Linked DNA regions of Bombyx mori. Each later gene encodes a partner of the first gene's protein in a complex. Links are inferred from orthologs where the notes say so. Each region holds a gene or a part of one and is shown on either strand. Other genes may lie near its edges.

Region 1 (5,306 bases):
TGGATACTATGCTGACAAAGTGATAAATAGCGTCAAAGACGTGTGACTAGAACTATATAAATAATTACCGCTGAACAATAGACTTCAAAGGCGCAAATATCGGAGGATGATATGAAATAATCATCTCACACGCCAGAATTTCAGCTTCCAAGGCCACATCTTCTGTTAAGTCGTTAGTTAACAAAATTTTGGTTATTTGTCTGGAATTGAAAATTATAAAAAAATATTATATTTTAAATAGGTAATTAAAAACATAAAGAAAATTAATTTAAATTTGTCAAATTAACTAATGGAAATTTATTTAAAGTATTTTTATAAGTTTGGCGATTATATGTCTGAACTTACAGGCATTTGACTTTAGCTGGTACCACTTCTACATCATCAACTCATATTATAGTTGCATCCTCACTTTGTGTTCTGTATAGATCTTTCTATAACAGGGGAGTGACTTTTAGTCCACACTGGTTGTGTTTGAGAATAGACTGTATTTTTTAAATCTTGTGATTCGCAAAAGTGCAATGGGCATTGGCCATGTAATTTTATTTATTTTTATTAAAAAGGTTTTCGAGGAATAGGTTAGCTGATTACAGAAAACCAATTTTCAATGAAATAATATAATATAATTATATATGAAAAATAATTATATACCCATGTTTTAATCAAACATGTTTGGTAATCCTCAAATAATGTCATCATTGGCTTTATTCAAAGAGACACTTTAGCCTATATATTTTATATACCCTACATACGGCTGAATTGACAGTTTATAATTTGAAACTTCAAAGCACATACAATTTCAACCCAAAGCATGAAGGTAATCATAACTTTAATACTTAAGACTTATCTATCAATTCTATGTCTTCTTCTTCTTATCAGCCCACAGACGTCCACTACTGGACACAGGGCTCCCCCAAGTCTCGCCACAAAGACCGGTCCTGCGCTGCCTGCATCCAGCAGATTCCCGCGAATCTCAATAGATCGTCGTTCTATCTTGCGGGAGGCTTGCCCACGCTACGTCTTCCGGTACGCGGTCGCCACTCAAGAACTTTCTGGCCCCAACGGCCATCCGTTCTACGAGCAATGTGCCTTGCCCACTGCCAATTCAACGTCGCAATTCTTTGGGCTATGTCGGTTATCATGGTTTTCCTGCGAATCTCCTCATTTCTGATTTATCTCGCAGGAAAACTCCAAGCATAGCCTCTCCATTGCTCTTTGAGTGACCTTGAGCCTTCTCATAAGGGCCATTGTGAGCAACCACATTTCAGAGCAACACACACTGATCAAAGACTTTCGTCTTGAGACACTGTGGTATTTGTGATGAGAAGATTTACGTAGCTTTCCGAACGCTGCCTATCCAAGCTGGATTCGACGATTGACCTCTTTTTCGAAGTTGGACTTACTTAGCAGGACAGTGTGTCCCAGTTAAATATACTCGTCAACAACTTCGAGCGTAGAGCTTCCAATTTTTACTGGAGTGGGCGCTATATGAACATTCAACATAATTTTTGTTTTTTCCATGTTCATATTCAGGCCCACTCGGATAGAAGCCCTACTGAGGTCTTTGAGCATTGTACTAAGGTCCTCCAAGGTCTCGGCCATAGTCACAATATCGTCGGCGAACTATGTACTCGCCGATGATGTTTATGCTAGCCCTTTCCAGTTCAGAACTTTGAAAATGTCTTCCAACGCAGCGGTAAATAGTTTCGGAGAAATAACATCTCTGCAAGACTGCATAATCATCTCGCGACGTTCTTCCATGAGTTTGAAAGTAGGGTCTGAGAGTTTTTTGGTTCTGTTTGCACGACGGGTTCCAAAAATCTTGGAACCGATCGTATGGACAGCATTCACAAACCCGTTATTGTAATCGTCCACGGAGCCTCCTAGGCACTCGAAGCGGTTTTGAAGTTCGAGCTGAAAGTGTCTAGAACTTTGGATCTGAGCTGGTGCTGAACGGAGCGTAGACCTCATAACTCGGAATCTCTCAAGGTTTATTGAGGTTCATTGTGCCTCTTACCACCCGATGATCACTTCCGGTTTTAATCGTATTGATCACAGAGACATCATAATAAAATCTGCGACATAATAAAATCAATCTCATTTTTGATAGCGCTATTGGGGCTCATCCAGGTCCACTTCCTGTGACCCCGTTTTCTGAAGAGGTCATCATAAATAATTCTTTCTTCTCCATGAAATCGGCAAGTAAGTTTCCCTGGTGATTTCGATGCCCAAATCCAAATGGTCCTACTCGCAGCTCCCCTTCGCACCGTTTACCGAGTCTGGCGTTGATATCCCCCATGACAATGGTGAAGTGAGTTGTAGAGCTATGCATGGCTCTGGAAATGTCCTATTACATAGTCGGAGCGTAAACCTGTATTATCTTCAACGAATACCTTTTGGTGATTCTGAGTACAAGGTACAACCACTCTGGTCGATACACTCTCGATTTACAACACATTATTCATAGGGGACTTGTGGACGATAATCCCGACACCACCTTAAGACAGATGATCACCTTCCCGAAAATAGAACAAGTTACCGGACCTCAGAATTATCGTTTCCTCTCCCTCTCTTCGGACTTCAGATAAGCCCACAATGTCCCACCGTAACCTGCTCAATTCCTCCTCGAGTTCCACAATCTTCTCATCGGTCCGCAGTGTTCGCGCGTTATATGTTGCCAGGTCCAATCGTCGTTTTTTACGTAGCCGGATCTCTGCCGGAGATTCTTAGCACCCCCTGCCCCGCCGTTACCTTGACCGCTACTGTAGCCAGGAATAGCGGAGCTGCCGAGGACTGGGCGGTTTTTATTTGTGTCAGACATGTTGGGAGGGGTTTCCATAATCGCCACGCTTGGCATGCGGGTTGGCGATCGCAGTATGCTGTTATGATACTCAGAGAACGTTGCCGCTCATTCTCTGGATAACCCGTTAGTCGCCCGGTATTATTCTTTATCGAGGCCACACCACACGGACACCACACGGCCAATTCTGTGTAATCCTCTACAATAAGTCTAAAGACTAAAGCAATACACAGTAAGGCTTAGCATCTCTGTCATTACCAGTTTCTATGTGAGGCAGTAGCTACCTTAATATAATTATTATAATAGTACATAATTTTAAATGAATAACATTTTTTTTTGTTACTGCTAGTGGGTATTTGTAGTCAAGAATAAATTTGCTCATACCTCGGTGTGTAAGGTTCCACCAACAAACCAGTGTTATCCCAACTCTCTGCCAATTCTTTTGGAGCAAATTTTTCAAGTACTGTTACTACTCTTTCCAAAGACACTGCACAGAATTTCTCAGTTGACATTTTGATAAAATGTGTGAACAAGTGATTCCTTGAATTTCTTGACTTTAAAATGTGCCTGCCTAACTGAAAGAACATTAGTAATATCTGAAAAAAGTTTAATTTTTAAATGTAAAATTTACTAATAAATTTGAAATAAAACATTGTTAAAAAATTAAATTTTACCAAAAGGCATTTTGAAAAGATTCAGTGAAATAATAAATGCTGTTTTTCATCATTATTTTAATCCAAACTTTATTTCCTTTTTCCTTATCTTTAAAACTAACTACTCCATTATAAAAACAATTAACTGATGTTTAATTTATAAATTGGAATTTTATAATGCCACTTTTAATTTTTAATATGGTTTGTAATAGTTTAATATGGTATATTGTGTAATAATATAGTACTTTAGTGTTTTGTTAATTCATATTATAAGACCGTTTCTTATACCAAAAAAAACCTGACTGTGGGTATTTTGTATAGTTCAATGATTGGATCTAAAGAAGTTGATATTTCATAATAATTGTCAGATTTTCAAAGCTTTCATATTTAAAAAAAATATGTAAGCCCATGGATTATATCAGCAAGCCAGTGCAGTGTATACCAAAACATTTTATCTATGTTATAATGTTTTTTGTTATTTTTTTTATTAGTTATTTGGGTTATGTTCGTGAACAATAATACTAAATCATGTTTTCAACAATTATTATAAAGACTGAAACTTATACTGTATTTACAATACATTTATATCTTGCTAGATACAATCACAGCTAATGTCTTGTGGCATAACCTTAATATAAAATTATTATCACTCCTTGTTAGATTTTTTGATCATTTCTATTTGATCTTTCTGTCAATAATTAGTTACTTTAAGCTTCTGTAAACTTCCATATTTTTATTTCTCCATCATCACTACAAGAAAGCAGTTCTTGATTTCCTGAAGGATTCCAAGCTACACAGTTTACATCTTGAGAATGAGCATTTTTCTTTGTACAAAGAAGTTCAAAAGTGGGAGCATTAGGATCAGAATCTTCACTCTCTTTAAATATTCTAATGATATCATCTCCACAAGCAGTAGCTATGAGGTCAGTTTTATGACACCAAGCAATATCATAAATACATCGTGTGTGAAATCCAGAGAGTGTACATATGCATTTCCAGACTGCCTCTCGATCAGTCACCACAACACCTTCTTGATTATCAGGTTTGTATTCTTTCCAAATTTTTACAGTTCTATCGTCACTACATGTCGCCAGTCTTTCTCCAGTTTTATCAAATGCCAAACTCCAAACTGTTGACTCATGCGAATGTAGAGTGGCAACACAAGTCCAATCATTATCTACAGGATCTTCTTGGTACAGTTTTACTGTGTTATCATAAGATGCTGATGCTAAGATATCTAGAGAAGGATGCCATGCAACCTATAAAGAAAATAATATAATTTATCCATTCATTATATGTAAGAAACACAAACTCAATTTTGTTTATTCATGCACTAACTTTCTTCACATCCTGATTGTGAGCATTAAGTACAGCTTCACACTCGTATTCATCTTCTCCAGCTACTTCCCACACCCAAACAGACTTATCTCTTCCACAAGTAGCCAGGAGATGGCCTGAAGGTGACCATGCTACACTTTTAACTTCATTTTCATGGCCTTCTAAAGTTGCATTGCATTGGAATTCACCTATAAAGTGTTACTCATTTTAATTTTGGATGTACAAATTCTTCACAGGGTCACAAGGGAAAAATACACACCACTTTTTTTATCCCAAATTGCAGTAGTCGCATCAAAACTGGCTGAAGCGAGGAAATTACCGCAGGGTGACCAGGCTACTTCCCGAATTGTTCTCTGATGTCCATCGACAAGTACAGTCTTAATCGCCCAATCTTGTCCATATTTACTCCATAATTTTATAGTTTTATCTTCACCACAAGAAGCAAAATATTTTCCAAGTGGATGCCACGACACATTCCAAACTATACCCTTGTGTCCGGCCAGATTTTGAATCAGTTC
Region 2 (5,337 bases), on another chromosome or scaffold:
TTTCATACCCCTAAGTATGTCCAGTACAAAAATTTTTTTTTTTGAAGTGAAACTTCCTTATCGGCGTTGGAAAAAAATTTACCGTCACATTTTTCGGTTACGCGTCACATTTTTCCGTTACGCGCCATCTTTTAATTAACGGCTGTATGTTCTGAAGTATGGATGCGCATTTGAGAAACCGACCTCATGTCTCAAGGTGGGTCACGGAATACATTTTGTAATTGCAATAATCCCAGGTAACCCACTTAATATCACGTGGACCGTGCTATTATTGTTATTACGTAAAATAATAGGAAGAAAAGTACCAGGGTATTATGATATCAAAGAGATGTATTATTATAACTTTACTCTGACGTACAGCCTTCTTTATTAATTAACGGCTGTATGTTCTGAAGTATGGATTCCGATTTGAGAAATTGACCTCATGTCTCCAGGTGGATTACGGAAATCATTTTGTAATTCCAATAATCTCAGGGAGCCCACTTAATAATATCACGTGGACCGTGCTATTTATTACTGTTATTACGTAAAATAATAGGAAGAAAAGTACCAGGGTATTATGATAGCAAAGAGATTTATTAATAATTAACGGCGGTATGTTCTGAAGCATGGTTTCGGATTTGAGAAATCGACCTCATGTCTCAAGGTGGGTCAAACTTCACGAACCTCAGGAACCCCATTTAACACCACGTGGACCGTGCTATTATTATTAATTTATAGGAAGAAAAGTACCAGGGTATTATGATATCAAAGAGATGTATTATTAAAATGCTGTAATAATCTTAGTAGCAAAAAGGTAAAGTGAAATAATTGTATTATTTGTATTCATGTCTATGATAATAAAATCCTTTTGTTTAAACTTTATCTAATTTAACTTTATTTAACCAATTTCTAGAAAGTTGCATGTAGATCATTTTTCGAAAAATAAGGCCATAAACAAGTTTCACTTCTTACGTGTGTACACTAGTACACGCACACATTTTTTTGAATAATTTTATTTTGTTATTGTGAGGTATTATGTGGTTGAATTAGGTTTTTTTTTCTACACTAGAATTTCTCTAGAAATTTATTTAAGACAACACGTTTGCCTTGTCAGCTAGAATAAATATAAATTTAAAAACAAACAAACACTTCAAGAGTAAGCCAAACTAAATCGTAGAAACTAAAAGTAAAAAAAATGATTTTTTTTTATTACAATATATTGTAACATATTTTTTAAGAACTCTAATTTATAAATAGTCGTAACATTTGATGTCAAGGTTTTAATTAATTATCAAGGTTAATCTTAATTCGGTTAAAATTACTCCTTATTAAAGATTCAGTTAGTTAGATATAAGTTATGCTAATAAAAATATGCAAAATAGATCCATCACAATATGTTGATGGTAAAGTACCTGAGATCTTCTAATACAGTCAATTACTAATATCGACGCTTCCACACGACGGAATACACTGGCTATGAAAAAATACGAATATTTCTTTTATTAAATAGAAAACTGTGTTTCACGTCAGATAACAAACTTTTTTTATTCAATTAAGCAAAAGATACACCGTTATGTAGGTAATGAAATAAAAATTAAATGTATTGTAGTAGTTTAGCGACAATATAGTGGTGAATGCAGGCTCTTAATTTTGATTCAAGGTTGTTTGGATGTAGATAAAAATAAAAGGCCTATTTTTTTTGTATACTGTAGCCTCATTTGAGGTATCCATTCCTTTTGGCAATGCGTCATGAATAAGCCACCAGCTTGAAGTTTCAGTCATTAAAGCTTTGTCTAATGTTTGTCTACATCAATTATTGATGGTTTTTGGATGTGTTAACGTCTAAATCGATGTACGCCGCCTGCACGCACGAAAGAGTGTCACGTTCCTCTGAGCCTGAGCGCGCAAGCGAGAGCGCGGAACAAACGATAGAGAGGCACGATCGGCCCAAGCGTTGGCTTGTGACACATTTATCTGTCTTCTCGCGTGGCGTCTTTTTTTAAGTGATTTTATGTCCTGGTAAATTAAAATAGTTTTAAATTAAAAGGTTTTATTTTTAATTTAAGACAATTTAAATTTTGATGAAAATTGCACTATCACTTTTTTGTATATGAAAAATGATAATATGAAGTGAAATGAAATGAAGCTGATTAATATGAAACATGGCATTGCATGAAATGAAATGAAATGAGATGAGATAAAATGACATGGGATGAAATATAATCTCAGTAAAATGGCGGTTATTTACGGAGACTTTTTCAGTGGACTTTTTGGAGGATCTCGAGAAGTTACGTCCAGCGCCTCTGTTTTATTTTCCCACTCACGTGACGTCAGAGTTAACAGTTCGAACAATTATCTTAATGGCGTTATCACGTAAAACTATCGTTCGTAAACCGGCTTTCGTTTATGGACAAAGTTACTTGCATTGTTGTAAAATTAGTTTAAGTTCTTTAAATTGTCAATACTATCTGTAAATTCTGTAGAACATTATTGAAGACGACAAAAAATTAAGATGGACTTAAAAGTATTGCCACAATAGCAGATACAAGTGAAAAAAAAAACGGAGGTCAGCAATTACAATTGTCAAAAAATAAATATGTCCGACATTTAATCGTGACCCGTGATAATTTTAATTTGAACGATAATATGATATCATTTTTCTCCAAACTATCTTTAAACAACTCTTCAAAACAGCCAGTGGAGGTCGCTAAGCCCGCATATATGGACAAAAGTGCTACATTACAAGAGCTCGGCTACAAAGACGAGAATGAGTTGAGAGAGACAATATATGGTTTGTTTTCAACATAAATTTGTGGTTTTGCACGAACTTTTTGTGTTATTTGCGTGTTTAATGTGTGCTGTGGTGTGTTTTAGACTATTTGAGGACAATTCGAGACCCCGAAAAGCCAAATACGCTTGAAGACTTGAAGGTCGTGTACGAGGAAGGAATCTTTGTGAAGGAACCAACTGCAGATAAAGTGCCCGTTTTACGTGTGGAGTATAATCCAACAGTGCCCCATTGTTCGCTGGCCACACTAATCGGACTTTGCATTCGTATTAAAATATTAAGGTCTATCCATCATCCTGTGAAATTGGACATTTTTATCAAGAAAGGGGCACATACCACTGAAGATGAAAGTAAGCGATGAAATTTGTTAGTTTAGAAAATGTATCATTGGATCTAAAATGCATTGCACTATAAAGTTTAGTGGAAAAAAAATCATCACTATTTAATACAAAAATAATATAATTTTATGATTATATTATTAACATCAATAGCAATGATATACGCTATTAACTAATAATATAAGCTAATAACTATTTATGTTTACATCTATTTCTGTTCAAGATAGTGAAATAATTTACCAATATAATGTTTACAATAAATTAACCCGATCAGGTTATCACTTTTTTTGGCACCTTGTCAGGTTATCATGGGTCACTGAAGACCTGAGATGCATTAGAAAACGTAATTTGTAATAAAAAATCTGATTAAATTCCTGAAAACTCTTGAATACTTAAACTTGAGCACACGATGAAGATTAAAAAAAATTAAATGAGGATTTTATTAATCATCATAAACATACCCACCTCCTTAAAATGGAGTCATTGATTAAAAATTCATAACTTTTGAACAAATTGAGATATTAAAAAAAAAATCAATTACAAGAGAATGCTTTTTTCAAAGAATAAATTTCTGCCAATCTCTCCATCTACTATAACTCTTTCTTCTTGTTCATTTCTGCTCTGCTGCTTCTGCATCATCATCAGAAAAATTGTACTGAGATGATTATTCTGAATCTTTATTAATGTGATCTATCACGAAGCTATTTTCTTCTTCTAAATATGTGTATCCAATGAATTATGTGAACAAAGTATTTTCGATATTTTATGATATCCACAGAGCTATATATTGATGAAAGATCAATGTGTAACCCTAAAAATGCATAAATTTTATTCAAAATCAAGAACTAACCTTGTCATGGAAAAAAAATTCAAAACCACAGTTACAGTTATCGTAGTTCACTCAAGATCACTAGTGATCCAACATGCACCACTAGCTCACTACAAATATTCCACAATTCTAGAGGAATGTGTATCAGAGTAAAGATTACCTACTCACCTCACAACTCTTTTATAAGCTTATTTACAGTGAGGTTAGATTTTTTTCCGTACTTTGATTGTTACAGATAACAAAACAAAAAATTAGCTACGTTCCTTAATAACCCACAATAGCTTCATCAGGTTAACGATGAGACAATTTGTCTTTATTCTACTAAGAGAGTTAAATGTTTATTTGCAGTAGTAGTTGCATTAGTAAAATATTGGGGCTTAATGGTGGTAAACTAGTAAAAAGTTATTAAAATTAATTTGAAAAACATCAGACAAATGAACTGACTGATATAGCTTAATAAAGTCTAGAAACAGCAATCATATTTGTTCTGTTGTAATTTCATTCCGATTAGTAGTGTTCGGTTATAATAATACAATATAATAATGTTCTAGTAATCATAATGTTCGGCTTAATAGTCAGAGGGATGACTAGTACACTGTCAGGTCAGTCATGAAGGTGTTGTTTATGAGTTTTCCACTTTTAATTAGAATTTTTGGAGTCTTTCAGCAACAGCTAGAAAACTGACCCTGCATGGTTAAATACCACCATATAGGGTAAACAAAATGTTCATACTTACTGGTACTACACACATACTGAAATTGTGTACTTCATACATACTGAAAAATGTGACAGCTGTAATAATACAAAATTCTGACTTCTACTTTATGCAAATTAAGCACATTATGTGATTAAATAAAATGACGATCAATATATATAGGTACATTTAGTCTACCGTATAATATATATAGACTTCATTGAAACACATTGTTTGCCATCTTATTAATCACAGCATAGTTCAAGAAAATTTAAGAAAAAATTAAATTACTTTTTTGGTTCAAAGACCATGACACAGTTTGTGAAGGTCATATTTGAAACAACATTGTGATAATAGTTTGTAAACATACAACATGTTTATTAACTTTTGTGCCAAAACATTATTGATTAGGGTTAGCAGACTCATAAATATTTCCAAATAGTGTGATACAAGTAGGTGTTTTAAAGCAGAGATGTGGACACAGCCCTATGACTATCGTTTCCACTTAAATTCAGGTAGACCAGAACTTCTCTGCTGATCCGATGTTAAAAAAAACTATCTATGCCAATATTAATTATTATTCTTTTATTTCCGCATTGGTTGCCATACTTGAAAAAGAAAATATGACTTTACAAATTTAATGTAGAGGTAGAGATAGTAAAAAAGTTGTAGAGAATCTTGGAATATAAGAATTGTAAATATGGTG

The links. The genes of interacting proteins can lie anywhere in the genome.
Region 2: NIF3-like protein (region 1) and MIP18 family protein galla-1 share a complex: the UniProt entries of both Homo sapiens proteins name them as parts of the CIA complex. The link is inferred for Bombyx mori from reciprocal best matches to the Homo sapiens genes CIAO1 and CIAO2A.

Annotation. Positions count from the first base shown.
Region 1 is NC_085116.1:9,600,790-9,606,095, forward strand, and holds the start of NIF3-like protein, read right to left. Parts: upstream 3,310-5,306; coding exon 3,182-3,309; intron 201-3,181; coding exon 69-200; intron 1-68. UniProt on the Homo sapiens protein: Key component of the cytosolic iron-sulfur protein assembly (CIA) complex, a multiprotein complex that mediates the incorporation of iron-sulfur cluster into extramitochondrial Fe/S proteins.
Region 2 is NC_085134.1:8,478,726-8,484,062, reverse strand, and holds the start of MIP18 family protein galla-1, read left to right. Parts: upstream 1-1,917; 5' UTR 1,918-2,628; coding exon 2,629-2,773; intron 2,774-2,856; coding exon 2,857-3,120; intron 3,121-5,337. UniProt on the Homo sapiens protein: Component of the cytosolic iron-sulfur protein assembly (CIA) complex, a multiprotein complex that mediates the incorporation of iron-sulfur cluster into extramitochondrial Fe/S proteins.